3 linked regions of the Notamacropus eugenii genome follow. The protein of the gene in region 3 interacts with the protein of the main gene of each other region in a pairwise test. Links are inferred from orthologs where the notes say so. Each region holds a gene or a part of one and is shown on either strand. Other genes may lie near its edges.

Evidence for each region. The genes of interacting proteins can lie anywhere in the genome.
Region 1: the proteins of NTAQ1 (region 3) and TSC22D1 interact in binary tests that used the Homo sapiens proteins (3 or more experiments, as listed by UniProt). The two-hybrid records come from large-scale screens. The link is inferred for Notamacropus eugenii from reciprocal best matches to the Homo sapiens genes NTAQ1 and TSC22D1.
Region 2: the proteins of NTAQ1 (region 3) and SFN interact in binary tests that used the Homo sapiens proteins (3 or more experiments, as listed by UniProt). The two-hybrid records come from large-scale screens. The link is inferred for Notamacropus eugenii from reciprocal best matches to the Homo sapiens genes NTAQ1 and SFN.

Annotation. Positions count from the first base shown.
Region 1 is NC_092877.1:295,069,139-295,076,774, forward strand, and holds the start of TSC22D1 (TSC22 domain family protein 1), read right to left. Parts: upstream 3,174-7,636; 5' UTR 3,047-3,173; intron 2,635-3,046; 5' UTR 2,388-2,634; coding exon 1-2,387. UniProt on the Homo sapiens protein: Transcriptional repressor. Acts on the C-type natriuretic peptide (CNP) promoter. Acts to promote CASP3-mediated apoptosis.
Region 2 is NC_092876.1:67,974,384-67,981,346, reverse strand, and holds SFN (14-3-3 protein sigma), read right to left. Parts: upstream 2,123-6,963; 5' UTR 2,043-2,122; coding exon 1,278-2,042; 3' UTR 674-1,277; downstream 1-673. UniProt on the Homo sapiens protein: Adapter protein implicated in the regulation of a large spectrum of both general and specialized signaling pathways. Binds to a large number of partners, usually by recognition of a phosphoserine or phosphothreonine motif.
Region 3 is NC_092875.1:120,994,188-121,001,246, forward strand, and holds the start of NTAQ1 (protein N-terminal glutamine amidohydrolase), read right to left. Parts: upstream 3,165-7,059; 5' UTR 2,996-3,164; intron 2,124-2,995; 5' UTR 1,991-2,123; intron 833-1,990; exon of another isoform or gene 758-832; 5' UTR 667-757; coding exon 584-666; intron 484-583; exon of another isoform or gene 53-483; intron 1-52. UniProt on the Homo sapiens protein: Mediates the side-chain deamidation of N-terminal glutamine residues to glutamate, an important step in N-end rule pathway of protein degradation.

The DNA of each region.
Region 1 (7,636 bases), on a different chromosome or scaffold from region 3:
ACAGAACCAACTTGATTTGCAGCAGGGACATTGCTAGCAGAAGGTAATGGACTCACTGGAGGCAACTGCTGGCTTATTATTCCTTGAGCCACAGATTCTGCTCCTTGAGCCACAGATTCTGCTCCTTGAGCCTGGGGCTGTACAGTTATCAAGCTGCTTTGAGGTGCAACGACCAGCTGTGGAGGAAGGTTTGAAGCACTGGCTTGAATTCCCTGAATGATCCCAGGCTGAGAAGGCGGAGGTGTCACCTGGGTGACGGTGGCCGGCTGCTGCAGCACAGCTGGGATGTTCACTTGCTGACCAACATTCACAACTTGACCACTAGCAGCTACAGGAGGCATTGCTGGCTGGCCATGTCCAACAGCCCCTGCAGGCTGTGCCTGGGCTGTGGTGGATTGCACTGAAGGCTGAATGCTCTGTGAATGAGCAACAGGCATCGCTGAGGCTGCTGCCACTCCTGCAGAATTTGGTGGGACAGGGGGCACTGGTGTCTGGAGAACTTGCTGATGCTGAACATACTCTGGCATAGTTGCAGCGATGGGATTTTGATTTACTGGCTGGATGTGGCCCGGAGCCACCTGTGTGGCCACAGTTTGTTGCTGCTGTCCGTATTGTAACTGCGGCGGTGCTACAACTGGCAAAGGGGTCTGAGAATAGGACGACTGGGACGGAGCCAAGCTGGAAACGGGAGGCTGTTGGCCTAACGATGGTGCTACACCAACCAGATTCACTGGGGGCGACTGAATGCCAGCCGCAGCACTTCTACTGGCCTGCAGAGGAGGCTGACTTCCCTGCTTTTGCGAAGCATAGGTCAGCTCTTGAGAATGCAACTGCACCGGGGCAATCTGAGACTGAGAAATACTCTGTGGTAGACTAGTTGCTGATACACCCTGTGCACCAGGACCACTACTGAAATCCACGGGCTGTGGGGCCACACCTGGGAGGGCTGGCTGCTGCTGGCCCACAACGGGGGCCCCCATCTCTCCACTCCCCACACTCTCTGTGTAGTGACTCAATGTGCTCACATTACTGCTAACTGAACTCCCACTAGTGCTCTCCCTTTCAGAGGTCGCTTCAACTGGGTTTTGTTTTACAGTCTCCACCACTTTGTTTACCGCTACTCCTTCTGTAACTGCTATGGGATTTTCTTTTTCATAGAATTCTGTGCAAGTCCATCTCCCCTTTTTAAAGGGTTCAGAACTAGAATCTAATTTCACAACTCTAAACCTTGATGTGCCAGCCGCTGGTTGTTGCTGCTGAGCTGAAACAGATCCCGCAGCCATTCCTGCAGCTGGGGTAGGAACATTGTTAACAGAAGAATTAGTACCATTGCCCATGCCACTTAGGATATTCACATTAACACTGGTGCTAGCTCCGGGCACAGCATTTACACTAGCAGTACTTGGGACGTTACTGGAAGGTACGTTAACATTACCAGGCATGCTGTTCGTCATGTTAGGATTAACACTACCCATTGCAGTAACGTTAACATTATTTATTGTGTTAGTGCCCGTAACAGAATTTATACCTAGACTGCCAGGAGCATTCGTATTGCGGACATTAGTCATTAGAGATGCAGGTGTGCCAGTGGATGATACAGCAGAAGGTGGTGCAGCTGGTAAAACACTGTCTGAACTTCCAGCTGTGGAGAGTTTTCTAGACACCGGACTTGGGGGTGGCCCTCCAGGAACAGCCGTGCTGACACCAGCATGGGATGGATGGTGGTGCCCATGGTGAAGGTGGTGCCCGTGGTGGTGGTGGTGATGATGGAGATGGTGTGGATGAACACTGCCATTGATCACGACATTCTGGGGTGGATGGTGAGGTAAATGGTGCTGAGGAAGGTGGGGCTGGTTGGGAGAGACCGCCCCAGGGGTCTCGGCCTCCTGGAAGTTATTCAAAGTCTCCTCGGAGGAGCTCCGCTCCGGCTCCCCCAAGTCAGTGGCCCTGGAAAGGGACACGTCCAGGATCTCGGAGGAGGACAGGTCCTCCGTGTGGGACTCGTCCAGGTCGTCGTAGCTCTCCGTGTCCTCGGCGATGCTGTTGTTGGAGCTGATGCTGGCCGAGATCTGGGCCGGCGTCACGCTCGTGATCTGGAAGCCGCTCTTCTTCTTCATCTGCGCCCCGCCGGGCGCGGCGGGGAGCTGCGGGGCCTGCGGGAGGAGGTGCAGGCTCTGCGGGGGCGGCGGCGGCGCCGGCCCCGGCCCAGCGGCCGCCGCCCCGGGCAGCGGCGCGGGAGGCGCGTAGTCCTCGGCCGAGGGGCCCGCGGGGCCGCCGCCGCTGCTGCTGCCCCTCCGAGGGACCGCGGCGGCCGGGTGCGCCATCTTCCGAGCCCCGAGGTCTGCGGCGGCGGCGGCGGCGGCCGTGGCCTCGGGCGGCTGGTGCATTGTGTCTGCACCGCACGGGGAGCTTTGTGTTCACAGCGCAGGGGCCGGAGGCACCGTCCCCGCTGCGCCGCCGGGGCCTTCTGCGCTCAGCAGGCGGAGGACGGCGGGGGGGACAAGGCAAGAATGGGGGGCACTACCGGTCCTCGGCCATTCACTTTTCCTTCTGGTCCTCTCCACCCCCTTTTATACAGTCCGCTTCACTAGGGGAGGAGGGGGTGGGGGGAGGTAGAGGAAGGAGGCAGGCAGACTGAAGAAGAGGAGAGGGGGGAGAGAGAGAAATGCCCACGTTATCCGGCCAACTTGGAAACCACCGCTGCCCCCGCCGCCCCTACCCCCGCCGCCGCCCCCGCCCCCTCCGCCACCCCCGCCGCGGTGCCGCGGCGGCGGCCACCCCTCCACCCGCCCCAACCCCAAAGGGCTGCCCCGGGAAAGGCACGCCCGGAGGCCAGGCCGGAGCAGCTAAAAGCCCGGTGCCTCCCCCTCCCCCCGCCCCCTCCCCCACCGCTAGGCTGGAAGCTGCTCCGGGGGCGCCGCCGCCGCGGCGGCTCAGCCGGGAACCCAGCGGAGCCGGGGCCGCTGGGCCGGCCGGGGAGGGCCGAGGGGGCGGCGGCGGCTGCAGCTGGGGGGAGGCCGGTAAGGGGGGAGGGAGAGATACGTACGATCCTCGCACCCAGCCGGGGGGCGGCGGCGGCGGCGGCAGGAGCAGCGGCGGCCGGGCGGGCGGGGGCGGGGGGAGCGCAGGGACCGCTCCATCACTGGCAGCCGCGGAGCCCCAACATCTTCCTCCCTCCGGGCCAGCAGCCCGGCGGCTCCGGTCCTCGGCCCTCGGGGAGGAGGCGGGCGGGCAGGCAGGCAGCAGCCAGGGGGCGTGAGGCTTCTCTCCGCGGCGGCGGCTTCGCCGGGCCGGGACTACCCACGGACGGACGGGCGCCGCTGAATGGAGCAGGAGGTGGGGGCGGCCAGGGGAGGGGCAGGGAGCGGGATGGGGGCAGGGTGTCGGGTGCGCCCGGGGGTTGGGGAGGGGGCGGCTGGGGGGGGGCTGGTTACGAGAGCTCTCCTTAGGCTGCCCCGGCTACGCCGTCTTCCCCACTGTCTCTCACGGCATTGGAAGAGGAGGGACGGGCTCCCGAGCCCGGGCGCAGGAGGAGGAGGAGCGTCCGGCGGTAAGAAGAGGAGGAGGAGGAGGAGGCAGCGGCGGCCGGGGGAGGGGGCCGAGGAAGATGGCGTCTGCGCAGGCGCTCTGGCGCCGCAGACATAAAGCCTCGCCTGGCGAGGAGAAGGGGCGGGGCCGGACGAGGCGGGAGGGGGCGGGGAGGGTAGAGGAGAGACGGTGTTCGGGGACTCGAAGACCCGCCGAGGCGGCAGCCGAGCTCGGGTGCTCTTGACGGAAACTACCGAAGGCCAGAGTCGGATGCCCAGGCGCCGGCGCGGTGGGGGCGGGGACTTGGAGATCGGGGAGCGAATCCGGGGCGGACAGCGTGATGCTGCCAGTATGGGGTGGGGTGGGGCATGAAGTGAGAGGGGGGCGCGGGCGCGAGCGGCCGAGGTGTGTCCTCGCTCCCTTCGCGCTTGGGGCGTGTGTGCGCGTGCACGCGCCCCGGCGAGGGGGGAGGGGGGCCCTCTGCAGTGCAGGGGGGAGGGGAGGGGCGGGGCGGGGCGGGCCGCCGGGCCATGTGCCTGGAGCGGGCCCGTGGCAGAATGGGGTTCTTCTCTGCAGCGCGGCGCAGCGGGCGCATCACGAGTTCTGCTTCCCAGGAGTCCCCAAGCCACCACATGAGTCAGGCTTTTCTCCCTCCTCTGCCACCTTCCCCGTGTGGAGGATGCCCACGCCTGCATGGCCCCCCCTCTACGCACACACGCGCGCGCGCGCACTCGGATCCTCCTTCACGCCCCTGGCGTGACGGGCGACACCTGGCCCCCGAGCTCCCGCCAAGGGGTCCCCTTTGTGTGGGCCAGAGCGCAGCTGCCATGCGGTCCCTTCTGCGGGCGGGCAGCGTGCGGAGGGAGGCGCATCGACACCTCCGCAGGTGGAGCCCCGTCTCCTGCAGTGCGGGGCCAGGACGACCGCGATGAGGACTGTTACTCGTCTGGTCTCTACAACGGGCGTTACACTGTAACTCCACACTTAACTGTAACTTAACCCTGTTACCCACATTCAGTGCGGTTAGGTTGGCCGCTCTCCTCAGCGTCAGACCAGCAAACCCTCCCGCGGTTACCAGACGAATTCAGAGGTGTCCTAGGATCGAGCGATCCCACCGGACAGGAGGAGGGCAGCGGGGCCAGGAAGCGCTTCCTGCCCACGTTAAGAACCCCAGTGTAGACGAGAACACGTGAGGGATGCCTTGAGGAATGACTGAGGGTCTCGTCAGAAAAATCCCAGATTTCGCCCGTCTGGGAAGCCCTTGCCTCGGTGGTCTGGGCATTTGGAAACGAAGCAGCTTCCCAGAAAGCCCCAGCCCAGGTGGGAATGTCAGGGACCCAAACCAAAGCCTGCCTCCCCAGACTTCCTCGTTTTAGAGCCGGTCCTCTCCCTTCCCTGGCCCAGAAAGGGCAGGACTGGGTGACCTCTGAGAGGAGATATTTGTTTAGTAACTGAGGCTAAAAGCATGTGGAGGGGCGGTGGGAGCCCGAAGAACGTGGAAGGTAGACTTAGGACCGAGACATCCGGGTAGAACAGTTAAGCTTTCTAGACCTCCGTTCAGTTTCATACGAGGTAACAATGTAACTCCTTTGCAGGAGCTGCATTTTCGAAGTGTAAGTTGAAATGCACCGCCCCATGAGCTCAGTTGTCTTTTGAGGTGCTTATTCCTGACTTTGGACTGATCTTTGTCAGCCTATTTTTTTCTGATTCTTTCTGCCCCACCCCATAGCTTGAAGGGCTGACCAAATGGAAATATCACATGAACAAAGATTGTATTTTTGTATTCACTATCCATGTCTCTGGGTGTATTTTTACTTAAAAAAAAAAAAGCTCATCCTTTTTTTTTTCCCTCAAAGCCTTTGCAAATGATACTCTTAGTTAATGGCCTTGCTATCAATTTTTGAAATGCAAATTTCCATCATGTTTTTTCAACAGTTTTCAAATGGGAAATGGAAACTATCTTAACTGATGGAAACTCCTTGTGGAATGCAGATAGGCCAAATACAGTTTCTCCAGGGCTTGAGAGAAAATATTCTTGCAGTCACAAAACATGATTTAGAGCTGTTTTATATGTTATTCAAAACAGAACAGTTTCACATCACCTGGGGCCCTCTTAACATCGTCCTAATATTTGGTCTAAGACAAAAAAGGTCATATAAGACTAAATTAAATTGTAACCCAAAGTTCATAGTGGAAAAGAGCTATTTAAGTATCCAAGAGAGAGCATCTACTCCTCTGACACTAATAAAACACTAATAAACAAATATACTAGTAAAAAGTGGGAGGATATTACAAGTGCCATTTCTTTAAAAATTGGTTTTCAAACTTCACTGCATGGAAGTCTTGGGTTCTATGAAGCAAACAGAGCTTTCCAAAAAGTAGAGTAGCATATAAGTAGGTAGGCTGAATCTAAATGCAAGGTTTCATGACCACTTATATGGTGTTATATATAACATTTAGTTATGGATAGGAATGAATGACTTCTGAGGACACTTTCAATTTTGCATTGCTGTGATTCTGATTCAGTCGGTTCTTGTTCTTGTTAAATTCTTGTTAAAATATGGTCTCTAAGCCAGGGGTCCCAGAACTCAAGGTCTCAGGACTTAAGCAAAAAGATCTACAGCCTCAAAAATACAAATACCCTATGTTTTCCAGCTGTCATTATAGTGTCTATGAATAATAACCCTTAAAAAGGAAAGGAACAACCAGAAAACAAAATGCTTAAATCTTGAACTTAACCTCTCAACACATACCTAAGCTTTTTTTTGCAAATATGTCCATGTTTTTATGTTAAAAGTTGTTTCCCTAGGAAAATGTTAAAATTTCACTGTTTTTATCACGAGTGTCTAAATTTGTTCTGTAGCTTTAATTTCTAGTCGTATATCAAAGTATTTAATGTAATCAAAAAATTAGAACACATTATTGAATCTAAACATTGGGAGTCTTTTTTTTTTTTTTTGGTTATGCCTTTTAAAGGACTGTTTATGTTAGAAGTCTTTCTAGTTCCAGAGCTTGGTACACAATAGCTATTGAATCACCTTTCTATCATATAAAAGATTAATCTTTATTAGACCAGGTAGAGTAATTGTTACCATTATTTTATAGATGAAGAAAGGGAAACCGAGAAGGGAATCATATGACTTCATCTAATATCACGTGACTCTCCAGGTCTTGTGTCTCCCCAGTTCATGCTCTTTCTATACTGCCTTTATGATCAATTGTAGCTGTAGTTTTTGTCTTATCACAAGACTACTCAAGGAACAAAATTTCCTGGGTGTCATAAAGTGTGGGTCCACTTTGACAAAGAAAATAAGACATTGTATAATATTTAACTAATTGTATATACATATGCTAAGAGCCAAATAGATATTTTTTTTGCACCTAGAATGTCTGCAAGGATATCCATTTATCCAACAAAAAGTTACTACTTTGTTCCAATAATATATATTGAGAACATATATTCATTAGCAATATTCATGCCAAAGTGTTTGAGAACTTGTTGCTACAACAATCCTGCATTACACCTGAATATTCTAAGGAAAAGTTATCATTTGAATACTATTTTGAGTGTTTCATATGGAAAATACTACAATAAATGATAGTTTCTTGTCTTTAGAAAGGACTTGTATTTCTAAAACAGGGAAAGAAAGCAATTTTTAAAATACTTGAGTTGAGACTATGCAACAAAAAAAAAGACTGCTTTTGCAATGAACAGAACTGAATTATATTATTTTGACTAATAAGGAATACATCAAATAGGAAATGAACCCATGTTTGCATGATGGAATAGAAATAGCTTAAGATTTAAAGTTAGGAGACTCAGGTTCCAATCCTAGCTCTTAACCAGCTCTACCGTCATGAACAAGTCTTTTAGCCTCCTAAAGTCTTAATATTTTCTGGAAAATGGAAAAATACTTTCCCTTCCTCCCTCAAAAAGCTACTCTGAAGAAACGCACTGTGTAAAATCTAAATTATTATGTGTTGATGTGAACAATATTAGCCATTCTTTTGTTCTACTTGCTTACTTTATGACTATGCAAATGTGAGTGACTATGTCACAATATCATAGAACTCTAAATATAGGAACATAGATTTAACTTAAAGAGAC
Region 2 (6,963 bases), on a different chromosome or scaffold from region 3:
CCCCTTTGCTCTCAGAACTTCTCATCTCCACCTTATCTTTAGACCTAAGGCATTTCCTTTCCATCTTCTTATATCTTGAGGGTCCAGTTCCTTGGGTATGGGATGTCTCAATTCCACCTCCCACCTGAATGGTCTCACTTCTTGCCTCTCTCTCTCCTCCTCCCTTCAGATCTGTGGCTTCTCATCTCACCTGTCCTGGAATCTGACTTCACTCTCATTTCTTCTCAACACTGCCCTAGCCTCCCCTCTCCTCCACCCCGAGATCTGGCTTTCTCAGGTCCAACTTTCCTCCCACTCCAGCACCAGGGCTGTTTCTTACGGATCCTTATCTTAGGGCTCGAGGAAGAGGAAGGAGTCCTCTGAAATCCTCTGTTCCGATGTGAACTCTCCTGGGGACTGAGGGTTAGTCCCTGACCTTGGATTCTGTCACTAGAAAAAAACCCTGCCCCACCCCACCCCTCAACCCCACCTAACTCTGAGGTAATCTACCCCAAATCCCTTCCGGCTGCTCCTTGGGATGGGCCAGCTCCCCTGGGGGTGAGGGCCAGGTAATGCTGGCCTCTAGAACCAGAAAGAAGACAGGTCTCAGAACCAACACCTTCCCCCGCCCCGCCCCATCAAGTGAGCCTTCCCACCTGCCCCTCCGACGCAGACGGCAAAAAGACAAAAGGAGTGTCAGGGAAGCTTTCTTTATTGAGAAGGAACTTTGTCACACTCAGACAGACATGCTCTCTGACAGTCGCACACACACACCAGCGCGCGAGCACACGCTGTCACCCAAACACATCCACACACTCTTCCTTCCTCCAACACACTCACACAACCTCTGGGCCCCACCAGTCCAGTCCCTCCCAAGCCCCTAAGGGCCTGGCACTTCCCAATCCCTCAGAACCACAGGGAGCAGGGGCAGGAGATGACAGGGAGAGCGCCGGGGGGGCGATCCCCGGGGCCAGCTCAGAGAGCCAGAGATCTTGGGACGATCGTGGGGGCTCTTGCCACCACCGTCCCTGATAGCCTGGGCCTAGACGGAGAGACTCCCGGAGCTCCCTGCCCAGCTGCCCTCGTTTTCGCGTCTGAGTCGCTCCAGAGCCGGGGCGCGCAGCGGGGTAGGGTTGGGGGGCTAAGGGGCTGGGGAGGGGAGGAGGAGGAGGCAGGGCGCAGGGAGGGAGAGGGATCCGGGGGCCCGCCCCACACACAAGTCCTCTCTCCCGAGGGGGGCCAGGCCGGGGCGGGGGACAGGGAACGGAAGGGGCCGTCGGGGCGCCGGGGAGCGGGGCTCAGCTCTGGGGCTGCTCCTCGGGGGGCGGTGCCTCGCCGCCCTCCTCCCCGGCGCTGTCCGCCGTCCAGAGGGTCAGGTTGTCTCGCAGCAGCTGCATGATGAGGGTGCTGTCCTTGTAGGAGTCCTCGCTCAGGGTGTGCAGTTCGGTCATGGCCTCGTCGAAGGTGGTCTTGGCCAGAGAGATGGCCTCCTCGGGGCTGCTGGCGATCTCGTAGTGGAAGACGGAAAAGTTCAGCGCCAGCCCCAGGCGGATGGGGTTGGTGGGCAGCATGTCCTTCTTGCTGATGTCCATGGCCTCCTGGTAGGCGGCGCGGGCCGAGTCGATGGTGCTCTTCTTGTCGTCGCCCGTGCCCACCTCGGCCAGGTAGCGGAAATAGTCGCCCTTCATCTTCAGGTAGAAGACGCGGCTCTCGGCGTCGCCCGCGTCCTTGATGAGGTGCGAGTCGAGCAGGCCGAGCACGATGCCGCAGACGGCGCGCAGCTCGCCCTCCACCTTCTCCCGGTACTCGCGCACCTCGGGCTCGCGCTCCTTGGCCTCGGCGCTGTCCTCCTCGGCCCCCTTCTGCTCGATGCTGGACAGCACCCTCCAGGCCGCCCGCAGGCCGCCCACCACGTTCTTGTAGGCCACCGACAGCAGGTTGCGCTCCTCGCACGACAGCTCGTCGCCTTTCTCCACGGCGCCCTTCATGAACTCGGCCATGTCCTCGTAGCGCTCGGCCTGCTCCGCCAGCTTGGCCTTCTGGATCAGTCTGCCTCTCTCCATGGCTCGGGCTGGGGCTGGGTCGGGGCTGCGCTGAATCCCGGGGCACCTGGGCTCTGCCTCTGCTCAGCCTCTCCCTCTCAGCCCGGCTTTTTGGCAGGGGTGGGGAGGGGCAGGGCTGGGCGGGAGGCGGGGCTGGGCCTCTGGCTCCTGCCTCCCCCAGTCCTGGGCCCTTTTCTTTCTTTCTTTCTTTTTTTTCCTGGCTGCTCCTTAAAGGTAAAGAGGCCAGGACAGGAGGCGCATTAGTCATCATGGGGATACTCAACCGGAGAAAGACAGGCGTGGGCCCCACCTAAGGCAGCTGCCTCCCGGGGCCTTCTGTCCCACAGGCTCTGCAATGCTCAGGGGCCTGCTCTGGGTCCCCAGGTTGATCTCCCAGTTACCGCGGACAATAATGGGCTTCTTCATCACGACCCAGGGAGTCTGGGAGTGGGAGGCTTAGAAAGTAGCTTGAGGTTTTCCTGAAATCGCTAAACCCCATTAGTTTTTAGGAAATAGGAATGGTCAGTCCCTTATGGGTCTGTACGGTCAGATGTGAATGGTGGGATGGGGGAGTGTGTGGATGGTTCAGTAACAGGGTGCACTCACTCTGGGGTGTGTGTAACAGAGACTGTGTCTGCGGGACAAAGCACCCCTTTAATAAAAGCTGGTCTTTTGACTTTAAACACAGAATATCTGAATGCCCTCCAACAAACTCTGCCCTTACTCAGCCCCTAGCCAGGGTCTAGAAGACACTGGAGGAAGCACTCCACCTGTGGCACAGGTACCATGTGGGCCCAGCCTGGCAGCCTCCTGCAATATGCCAGGAGTTGTATTGGATATCCCTGGGGAATGGGCAGTGCTGGTTCCTACTGATCCTCCTGGGAGGGCCCCAGGCATCTCTCTGCCTTAGGCATACTCCTATCTGAGAAGCCCTCCAGAGCTAAGCAAGGACCCCACAGCCCTGCTCCCTAAATCTCCTCCCCTCCCCCCCAGATTGTTGAGGTGGCATCTCAATGTGCCACTTAAAGATGAGTTTAACAAGCGAGGACGCTGGAGGCCCATCCTTTGTAATTAGCCACCCAGTTGGGCCCAATACCATCCCCATTACACTGCAATTTTCCCTTTCAACTGAGCAACCAGCTCCCACTAGCTGGAGGACTTTCCCCAGGGACATTGCTGTGGCTGGGCTCCAAGCTTAGGTGTCTGGCAGTACCCTCCCAAGCCATAGAGTATCAGGGAGGCTCATGTGGGCGCCCTGGAGAGGGTGGGGTCCCCAACTTCGTCAGCTGCCCCACTTTCCTCTCTGACTCACCTTTGACCTAGTGCCAGGCTCCACTGATTTGTCTGAGGCTGGCAAGTAGGACACCTGGGCTCTAGGCCCAGTTTAGTTCCTGGGAGGGGGGCGGTATTGACTCCCAGGGGAGGCAGTGGTGACAGCATGGATAGCCAAGGTCTTGTTATATGAGGACTCTTATGGGGATTTTATTCAGCCACTTCTAATTTATTTCACAGATCTTTTTCTGCCCCTGTCCTCTATTCATGGCCCCCTGCTGGGCAGGGGGGCAAGTAGCAGTACCCCTTCTCTGTGCCCTCAGGCCACAGTGGATCACACCTCCTTTCCAGTCCGGGCTCTGACTCCACCTCAACGGAGAGCCACACCCGAGGGAGTTGGCACATTGCCTACGGGGCGGTGGTGGCTATTGAACACCAAGGGGCTCCTGCCCATATAGCCCCACCCCACAGCTCTACAAAGTGCAGGTCTAGTGTTCAGGGGTGAGGCTTCCTGCTTTGGGAATCTGTCCGGGATTCTCTCATCCAGTTCCTCTATGGTCCCTGTTCGAGGGCTACCAAGCAGCGCCCTACCTCCCCCGGCTTCTCTTAGTACCCACCTACATGGGTGCAAATGACCTGTTCTTGGGGAAGCCACTGCCCAAGTCTGTTTGATGTCCCATTAGGAGTCATCCTTCCCTGCTCATGACAGCAGCCTCTTTGCTAAGGAGGAAAGACAGAGTCACACCTAGCCAGAGGGAGCAGACTCTTGGTGAATCAGGAGGGATTTTGGTTAGAAGTGAGAAAGACCTTGCTCACCGGAGGAATCCACGTGGGTGGAGGTGAAGTTCCTCCAGTCATCGTCGTCAAGGCATCCTTGGTGTAGGGGTTGAGATTCCAAGCCAGGCTAGCTCTACTGGGAAGGAAAAGGGGATAAGGTTTGTCCCTAGTTTTCTTTCTGAGATTTTGGGGTAGGTGACAGACCACTGGGCTTGTAGTCGGAGGACCTGGGCTTGGATTTCAGCGCTGCTGCTGACCTTGTTACACTGAACAAGACCTTCTTCTCTACAGACCTCAGCTTCCTCAGCTATAAAATTAAGTAGCTCTAAATACCTGGGTCCCCCACCTCATCTCCACCCCTTCTAGCTCTGACATCCTGTGTTCTTTTTTAAAATTAGTTTATTTTTAGTTTTCAATATTAATTTCCTCAAGATTTTGAGTTCCAAATTTTCTCCCCATCTCTCTCCCCTCCACCCACCCCAAGACAGTGTGCATTCTGGTTACCCCTTTCCCCAGTCTGCCCTTTCCTCTTTCGCCCCCTCCTATCCCTTTTCCCTTTACTGCTTGTAGGCCACAATAGATTTCTACACCCTATTGCCTGTATATCTTATTTCCCAGTTACCGTAAACAGAATTTTTTAGCATTTGTTTTTAAAACCTTGTCTCCCTTCTTCCCTACCCACATACCCTCTTGAGAAGGCAAGCAATTCAACCTAGGTTATACATGTGTAGTCATGACATCCTGTATTCTAAGGTGCCCCCAGCTCTTTCTAAGAGACTTCTCAGCTCTGACATTCTGTGTTCTAAGGGCCCTCCCAGTCCTGACATCCTATGTTCTAAGGGCCCTCCTAGCTGTAGAGCTGATCCTGGGATCAGTTCTGTCTTGGTACCACTCTTCCCTCTACCTGGCCTAAATCGGTTCCAGACCTCTCCAGCACCTTCCTGGAGTGCTTGTCACTCATTCTCAGCTTCTCCATCTCCGGATGCAGCAGTGCTGGAGGAGGGCAGGACTGGCCCTAGGGATTCAGAAACCTGGCTTCTCACTGTACCTTCCCAGATCAGTTATCCTATGACAGCCCAGCCCATGGAAGGGAATTCATGCTGGATGGTGAAGCCTTCCCTCCGAGAATCTCCCAGCTTCCCCTGGACATGTAGGTCACCCCCTCAGCCTGTGAGCTCCTCTGAAGTGGGGTCTAGGGTTGTATGGTTTGTTTCTCTGCCTTTCTTCCAATACTCAGCATGTAGTACAGAGCCCAGCACGTAGCAGCGCTCCATAAATGTCTGTTGACCGTCAGTCATGAGACTGCTTCTGGTCCAGACTGTCACTGCCTACCTGGATGCCTAAGTCACTTCCCTTCTCTGGGGCAAGGGACATTTGCAAAATGAAAGAATTTAATTTGATACCTCTAAGGCTCCTCTCATCATTAATATTGTCTTACAGCCTTCTCAATATATGCTTGACCTCTCCAAACTGCCACCCCTCCTCCCAACCCCTATTGAACATGGCCTTCTCTCATTTGACAGAGACAGGTTAGAACAGTGGATAGAGTACTGTCTCTGGAGTTAGGAATTGCTGGGGTCAAAGTATTCCTCAGACAGTTACTAGCTGTGTGACCTTCAACAAGTCCCCACTTCTGAATCTCAGTTTCCTTATCTGTAAAACAAAAGGGCTGGACTAGATGGCCTCCCTGCTCTAGTTCTATGATCCGATATCACTTCAGCTCTGAGACTCAGTTTCCCCATCTATAAAATGCAGCAGTATCTTTATGATAGCTCCTTACTCTCATTCTTCAAGTTCCATCCTTGGGGCCCAAAGGAGAAAGGTTGAGTGTAAAACATTTTGCATGCATTAAAAGGCAGTTATTAACTCTGGACAAGGTAAGATATCCTATATTCCCTAGCAGCTAGGGGCCTTGGGCAGCCCCTTAACTTTTCTCAGGCTCCTCAGTTTGCCTGGATTCTGTACCTCCCTGACTTATGACTCAGTTCCTGTCTTGGGCACCTCCCTGTGCCTCCAGGCCTCCATTTATCACTTGAGGAGGCAGCAGGTCCAGGCCTGGCTGTTCAGGGAGGTCTGGACGGCCTCTCCCAGTACAGCTCCATGAGAGCACCCTGTTCAGTGCCCTGTGTCAGCAGAAACGGCTGCTTTCCCCATCCTGCCTTCCCTCCCCTGCGCAGAGCATCCCCTTTAGGAAGGCAGGGCCCCAGCCTTCAGTGCCACATGGCTACCCAATAATGTTTTACCTGATAATAACAGGCTTTGCTTTGGCACTCAAGAGTTATTCTGGGGAAGGCAGGTGGCCATTGGCTGTTCAGGCCCTCTCCAAACCAGCCCTGAGAGGAAAGGACGGGATTTAGGTCAGAAACCAAAAGGGAATCCTCAACCAGAAAGGCCAAACTAACTCATATTTCTACTCATCCTTCTCTGACACCACTTTATGTCATGGAGGTGACTCTGGGCCTGGGAAGGTCTGTTTGTGGCAAGTGCTAGCAGGCCCTACCAAGCTGGAAAGATTTCCAGCAGAAGCCTGGGGAAAGATGGCATGTGCTTTCTGAGAAGTATGCAGAGGCTCATCAGCACAGGACAAGGCTCAGCACCAGCACAAGGCATTCTGGGGCCAGAGCAAGTCATGACAGTCTATGTATGATAGCGTACTGATGTGCGGAGGAGCTGTGGTCTATGGTGGTGGGAAGGGTGACTGGGTAACCTTGAAATAGAAATATATATATATACACATAAATTGAACAATATATATAATACTATAGAAATATAAATGTATTCTACACACATACACATGCATATGTACAGGTAGTGTGTATGTGTTGCATGCATGCATGCATAACACACACATGTACACAGCCTTGTAAAAGTTACAAAGGGCTTTTCTCCTAAT
Region 3 (7,059 bases):
TGCTTAATGACCAGGATCAGCTCCTAGGGTGGCCCTCATTTCCCATACTCACCTGATTACAAAGGTATCATTTATTCTAAGTATTCTCGGCGCCTCGCCGCCCGCAAGTTATATTTACGATAAGGCCCTGCCATGAAACAGCCCGTCCCTCCCAGCTCCATCTCTCTACCCGGAAAGAGTTACTGTCGTCGCCAGCAGGGAGAACCACCAGAGCTCTGGAGCCGTTAGCCCTGGATTCAAATCCTGACTCCGTCCTGGTTAGCAGCCACCTCGGCCGCTGGGATCCGAGTCCCCCTCCCGTTACTGAATGAAGGGAAGGCGAGCGCTCCCAGCCTCAGTTTCCCCATCTGTAAGACGAAAGGGTGGTAGGGAGCGGGGGCTGGCCTGGATGAGCTTCGGCTCCGGGGCCTAGAAGCCTCTCCGCAGAACCCGAAGCCACGCCCGGGCCGAGCGCGGAGAAGCTCGGGGGTGCCCGGGGCCAGGGGCGGGGCCAGGGCGGCGCAGGGCCGGGCCCAGGGAAGGCGCCTACGACAGACCTAGGCCGGTCCGGGGCGGGGGCGGGGGCGGGGCTCGGGCCCCTTACCAGTAGCAGCTGCTGTAGGTGCAGGCGTCCCGGGGCGGGCTGGCTGGCTGGTAGCCTCGGGAAACGGATCCCTCTCCTTCCATGGCGGGCGGGCGGGCGGGCAAGCCCGGGCCGAATACGCCCGGCTGTCCCTTCGCCCTCCTTCAACAGGCCGAGGAAGCGCGGTGCGAAAGCCTGGGAAAGGGGACAGCCTAATAAGAGGCGGACGCTGAGGCGGAGGCCGCGGAGGGGCGGGGCCGCGGAGCCGAGGGGGCGGGGCCCGAGGGGCGGGTCTGAGGAGGTCTTAGCGGAAGCGTGGGGGGCGGGGCTTGGAAGGCCTGAGCGGGGGGGCAGGTTGTTGCTTGGGGGCGGGAACGGTGAGGAAGGGGCGGGGTCTCGTTAGGGGCGGAGTTAGAGGGGCGGGGCAGAGATGTCTTGACTGGACTTTTTTTTTTACTGAACTTTTGACTCTGCTGAGGAAGGGATTTGTTTCTTAGAAAAATAGTCCCTGGCTTTGTGGCCTATAGAGCTCTAGGCTTATGCTCCTCTACATAGGGCTTTTCTTGCGTTTGCACCTCATCCCCCCAATCCCTTCCTGGCCTCCCTGGGTTTCCTTCAAGTTTCAGCTAAAAATCACTCCTGCTGCAGAAGGCCTTTCCCAGGCCTCCCTGTGGAGCTTTCCCTCTGGGACTACCCTACCTTTATCCTGAATATGCCTTGTACATAGTTGTTTGCATGTGTCACTCATTTCAGTCATGTCTGACTTTTCTTGACCCCCATTCGGAGTTTTCTTGACAAAGATATTGGAGTGGTCTGCCACTTTACAGAGGAGGAAACTGAGGCAAACAGGGTTAAGTGATTTGCCCAAAGTCACACAACCAATAAATGTCTGAGGCCTTCCTGACTGCTCTGTTTCCTGCACCACCAGTTGCCCCTCTTTGCATGTCGTCTCTCTCTAGATCATGAGTTCCTTGAGATCAGGGATTGTCTTTTGACTTTCTTTACATCCCTATCCTTTAGCACCATGCCTACCACAAAGTGCTAATTGACTAACTTAAAATGCCATCACAATGAATGAAACAATCCCTACTTACAAGATTACATTCTAATAATTTCTATTATTAATTAGTAATTCTAACAATAGTGGAAGGAGCATCAGCTCTGACACAATTATGACCCTCCTTACTGGGAAATCCAACGACAAGCAACTTGCATTGGTAGAGGGAATTTCCTCACCTGACAATTTCCCTACTCCAATGATATTACAGGTGCAGTTCCAGCCCCCATCACAAATTCTATCATCATTCTCGTTTTCCTCTTTTGCACATGTTTCTGCTTGTCAGTGTCTTCACCCAAAATGGAACACCCCAAACTAAACCTATACTCCATACATCTAAGCCTAGGGCAGAGTTCAGTGGGACTACTCACTTCTTTGACCTGGAGACTTCCTCTGTCAATGCAACCTGAGATTCTGGCTGCCAGGTTAGAGAGTCAGATCATACTGAATGTGCTTGTGAAGTCCTTATCAAATGAAATGTAGTCCAGCCAGGCCTCTTCACTTCTAAACTTACAGAGTTGAAAGGACAATTATCCTTTTCCCCTGGCTTTACCTTCTTCCATAGACTAAACATCTTCACTTCCTTCAAACCATATGGTATGTTTCATCTTTAGTCTAGTCTCCCTTTGGCACTGTTTTGTCTTTATATCCCCAACACTTAGTTCCTTGGACAACGTAGACACTTTTAAAATGCTTAAGGAATCAAAAAGAAGTAATAAAATGAGGAAAGAGGAAAAATGTTGTACCTTGAATATGGGGGCCACGGATAAAGAACAAAACAACAGAGAAACAGAAGAATGAGAATAGAGGGAAACATTTTAAAACACCTTTCTATCTGAACTAGAGAAAGGGCATGAGGAGTTTTGAAAAGATTCTATCAATAAAAGTAGAATCCCAGAATCTTGAGGTTATAGGAAGAGATGTGAGGGTATGGAGAGTCTATGATCATTCTAAGAGAATGATACTAGTGATCTGACTGAAAAAGCAGACTTAACAAGCAACAGGATGTGGAGGAGGGAAAAGCACACTTACCAGTTATAACCATGCACATAAACAGATTGAACTACAGAGTAGGGGGAAAATTTTTGCAATTAAACGTTTCTGCTGAAAGTCTGACATGTAAAATCTATAGGGACTGGCATAGATTTATAAGGTTAGGAGAAATTCCTCCTGATAGATAAGTGGTCAAGGGCTGTGAACAGGCCTTTTCCTTTTATTTTACTTTATTGGTATCTTTAATTTTTATATCACCTTCATTACCAAATATATTCCTGCTATCTTTCCTCCTCTCCCTTGAGTCATTCCCTATAACAGTTTTTTAAAAGATGAATAAAAAGAGAGAACTTAGGGAAAAAAAGCAATTTAGAAAAACTCACCAGCACATCAATCAAGTCTGAGAGTATATGCAACTGAATAGGCATTTTTCAAAAGAAACATAAGTTCACACTGAAATGGACAGACCGAGACAAGCACAGGCAAGAGTTAATTGAGAATTTGGGAGTGTCTTAGCCAGTGGCTGTCCACAAAGGTGGCAGCCCTGAACAAAGGTGTGTGTGCCTTTTAAGCATCTTAGCACCTCCCGGTACAGCCTTATGGTTCCAGTAGCTCACATTTTTCACAGAACAGTTTTGACAGGGGTTCCTAGGTACTGCTAGGCAAGGGGGCACAACAGAGAGGGGGGCCCAAGCAGCTGCTAGGCAAAGGGGTACAACAGAGATGGGGGCCCAGGCAGCTGCTAGGCAAAGGGGTACAACAGAGAGGGGGGCCCAGGCAGCTGCTAGGCAAAGGGGTACAACAGAGAGGGGGGCCCAGGCAGCTGCTAGGCAAAGGGGTACAACAGAAAGTGTAGCCACTAATAGTAAGTGGCTACTAGGCCCAACCCTGCCTAGAAACTCAACAGACATTTCTCAACCCAGGGGCTCTAGGGGGGGAGGGGAAATAATGTCCACTTCAACACAAGTAATTTGAATGAATAATAAAAATACAAATTAGCTTAATTCTTAAGTGTCACTTTAAAAGACATCAAATTCACATAAATAGTAATTTTTTTTTAAATCAGTTGCTGGCAAGACTTTGGAAAATTGACAATCTAAAAATTCACTGCTAATGGAGCTATGAATTTACTAAGAATTTTGGAAAGAAATATAGAATTATACAATAAAAGTAACAAAAAATTTTGTACTCTTTAATCCAACAAACCCACTATTAGGCTTTTAACCTGGGGTAGTAATTGGTAGGAAAAGACCAATCTGCAAAAATATTCGTACCAGAACTATTTGTAATAGCTAAAAAGCTGGACACAAGCTTTGTGATTTAATAAATTGTGGCATGTGGATGTATGTGGATTCCGTAGCCATAAGGAATTTGCCAGTTTGAAGAAATGGTGAAATATTCAAACTGAATCTATACAAAATAAAGCAAAATCAAAGGAAAATAAACATTCTAACTTCAATGAAATAAACAAAGACATTAAAGAGCAACAAATCTCAGATAAATATGAAAGTAAATATTGGTATTATTGCCATATCAAAATTGAAGCACACAGATGCTGGGGGCCCTCCCATCTTTTGGGGGGGGGGAGGTGCTAAGTCAGTACATAAGCTACTTTTCTTTCTTTTTTCTATCTAAACCAATGATTTCATCAATGTGCTAAACTGTTAGTGTGGAAACTCCTTCCACATATTCAGACTGGCCACTCCTCTACAAAAATGTATGTTTATAATCTTAGAAAATTTCCTGTTTCGCTGAGTATAAGTGACTTACTGATGGTCACTGAAATGGACAGATGGTCACATAGCTAGTATGTGTCATAGAGAGAGCTTGAACCCTGAGATTCCTGTCTAGAAAACTGACCCTTACTCTCTCCCTTGGTAATGTTATTAACTCCCATGATTTCATTTATCAACTTGATTCAGATGGCTCCTGAAACCATAATACCTCTAACTATGACCTCTTTCAAGATCACAGACTCACTTTTCCAAATGCCTATAGGATATTCCTCACCTGAATGCCTCCCTAGCACTTCAAACTCACCTCCTCCTTGTCTATTCATCAAAACTTGCTCTTTCTTTGGGTTTTACCAGTTCTGTCAGTAGCAGCATGCATCTCCCCTTTCTTTTTTAAAATGGCAAACAAGTGCATGGCTGCTTGTCCAATCTTGTACTTTTTGGTATTATTTTTCTTAATATTTGGGGGGACTGGTTTGGGGGGTTTTCTTAAATTATATGAGGAGTTTGTTGAAATTTTCTTAAAACAAAATGTTTTGATAAAGTAACGTGGCTCAAAGTCATTAGTGTAAGTCTTTCTTCGTTGGTGGAGATTAATTATTCAATACTCCTTACCTATATCACGGAAAGCATTGATGAGAACTTATGAGAAAAGAGATACTAGTCTTTAGGCTGCTAACTTTAAGAAAAAAGATAGTTCCACACTCCATTCAGATTGCTAAAGGGACAAAAAAACTGGGAAAAAGTCAATATGATCAAAGTGCTGGTACTTACAAGCTACCCTTTTCTAAAAAAAAAAAAAAACAATGTGGATAATAATAACTGTACTACCCACCTTATCTGGCTGTTGTAAAGAAAGTGCTATGAAAACTAGAAAGTGGGAACCAAGGGAAATGAGAGACAATGTGACTTACTGGATAGAGATTTAATAGAGGAGTCAGAAAGACCTGGGTCTAAGATCTGTCTCTGACATATACCAGCAATGTGACCATGGATGGGAGAGTCACTTTACCTTGGAAGGCCTGTGTCCACACACTTTAGCCTATAAGTTACAAAATTATTCCAATCTGCATCAGTGAGTTCTAGTTGCCAAGAATTATCAAAGATGTGAAATTACAGTTTTGGATCCCTCCAAAAAAAGTGGGAGATTAAGTCAGATTGATAAGAATTAGAGCCTCTAAGGAAAAACTTGAATTCTAGGAAATGAGAAGTTTGACTTGATATTGTGTGGGATGGCTCAGGTCCCTACTTAAATCAGTTACTCAGAGGCCTCTCAAAGTGATGACAGAAAGTTTATTTACTAGATTCTCGAGAATCGGGACAATCCTACACCAGTTCATCTGGAGTAGGAAAGACAAAGACAAAGAAAAGGCAGTGATTTATATAGACCCTAACGCAAGTCCCTCCTCCCCCACTGACCATTATCCTCATTAGCTGAGAATATGATCTTACATTCTAGACACAAAATCTAACCAATCCCTTTTGAAATGAAGACATCGAGGAATTATGTAAGTTTTATCCAATCATTGAGACCCTAATATACTACACAGTTTTATATCCTTATATGGAACTATTCTATTCTAAAAATATTGTAACCTTGAGCCTCTAGGTCTTACCTCACCCCTGGGAGAAGAATTACAATCTGAGAAGTCTTCACTAAACCTATCCCACTCAATATTATAGTAAGGTATTGATATTCTTGAAGGGTAAATGTTAAAATGCCTAATCTGGAGTGATGACTAGGCATTGAAATGGAAGAGCATATGGGGAAACCAAGCAGAGGGTTAGTGTAGTACTGAGAATACAGTGAAGAAAACTGCTATTTTGCCACTAATTGTAATCAACAAGGAAAATCTGAATAGTGAAATAGAAACCTAGAAAACTTTGGCAAAAAGTGAAAATCTCTTAGCATTCATGGTAATTTAAGGAAAGGAATATTGGGTATAAAAAAATCATCCATTCTCTGTTTGAGTCTGTTATCTCTCATGCTTCACTGACTTCTTCCTATGTAGATACAAATATATCTAGGTCTCCTCATTCCCAAAAGAAGCCCTTTCCTTGACCCTACTCCCCCAAGCAAGTAGGAATTTCTTGAAGTAGTCTTGAAGAACTCAATTCTTCCAATTGCACTTCTTTATTACCCACTCTCTTCTCAATCCCTGTCAACAAGGCTTCTATTCCTTCTCTACTAAAACTATTTTAAGCACACCAGTGACATCAAATCATCTTTACCCCAGTTCTCATGTTCTTTGACCTCACTCTTTCATTTGGCATTACCCCTCCAACCATATCTTCTTTTTCTCCTCCTTTGCTGACTCCTTAGCCTCTCTTGGATCTCAAAAGATTTTATCAGTCCTTTGTTCTTTACTTTGTCCCTTAAAAATGTCATTAGCTCCCATGATTTCAATTATCACCTTAATACAGATAGTCTCTGAAACCATAAGGCCTCCAGCTTTGACCTCTCTCAAGGTCTCAGATTCGCTTTTCCCCATTCCGGCAGGATATTCCTCATCTGAATGCCTCCCTAGTACTTCAAACTCACCTCCTCCAAAGCTGAGTTTATCTATTCATCAAAACTTGCTTTTTCTTTGGGTTTCACCAGTTCTGTCAGTAGCACCACTATTCACCTATTGTCCTGTATTCAAAACCTTGGTAGTATCTTTGATTATTCCCTCTCTCTCACCTTTCATATCCAATTAGTCGCAAAATCCCAG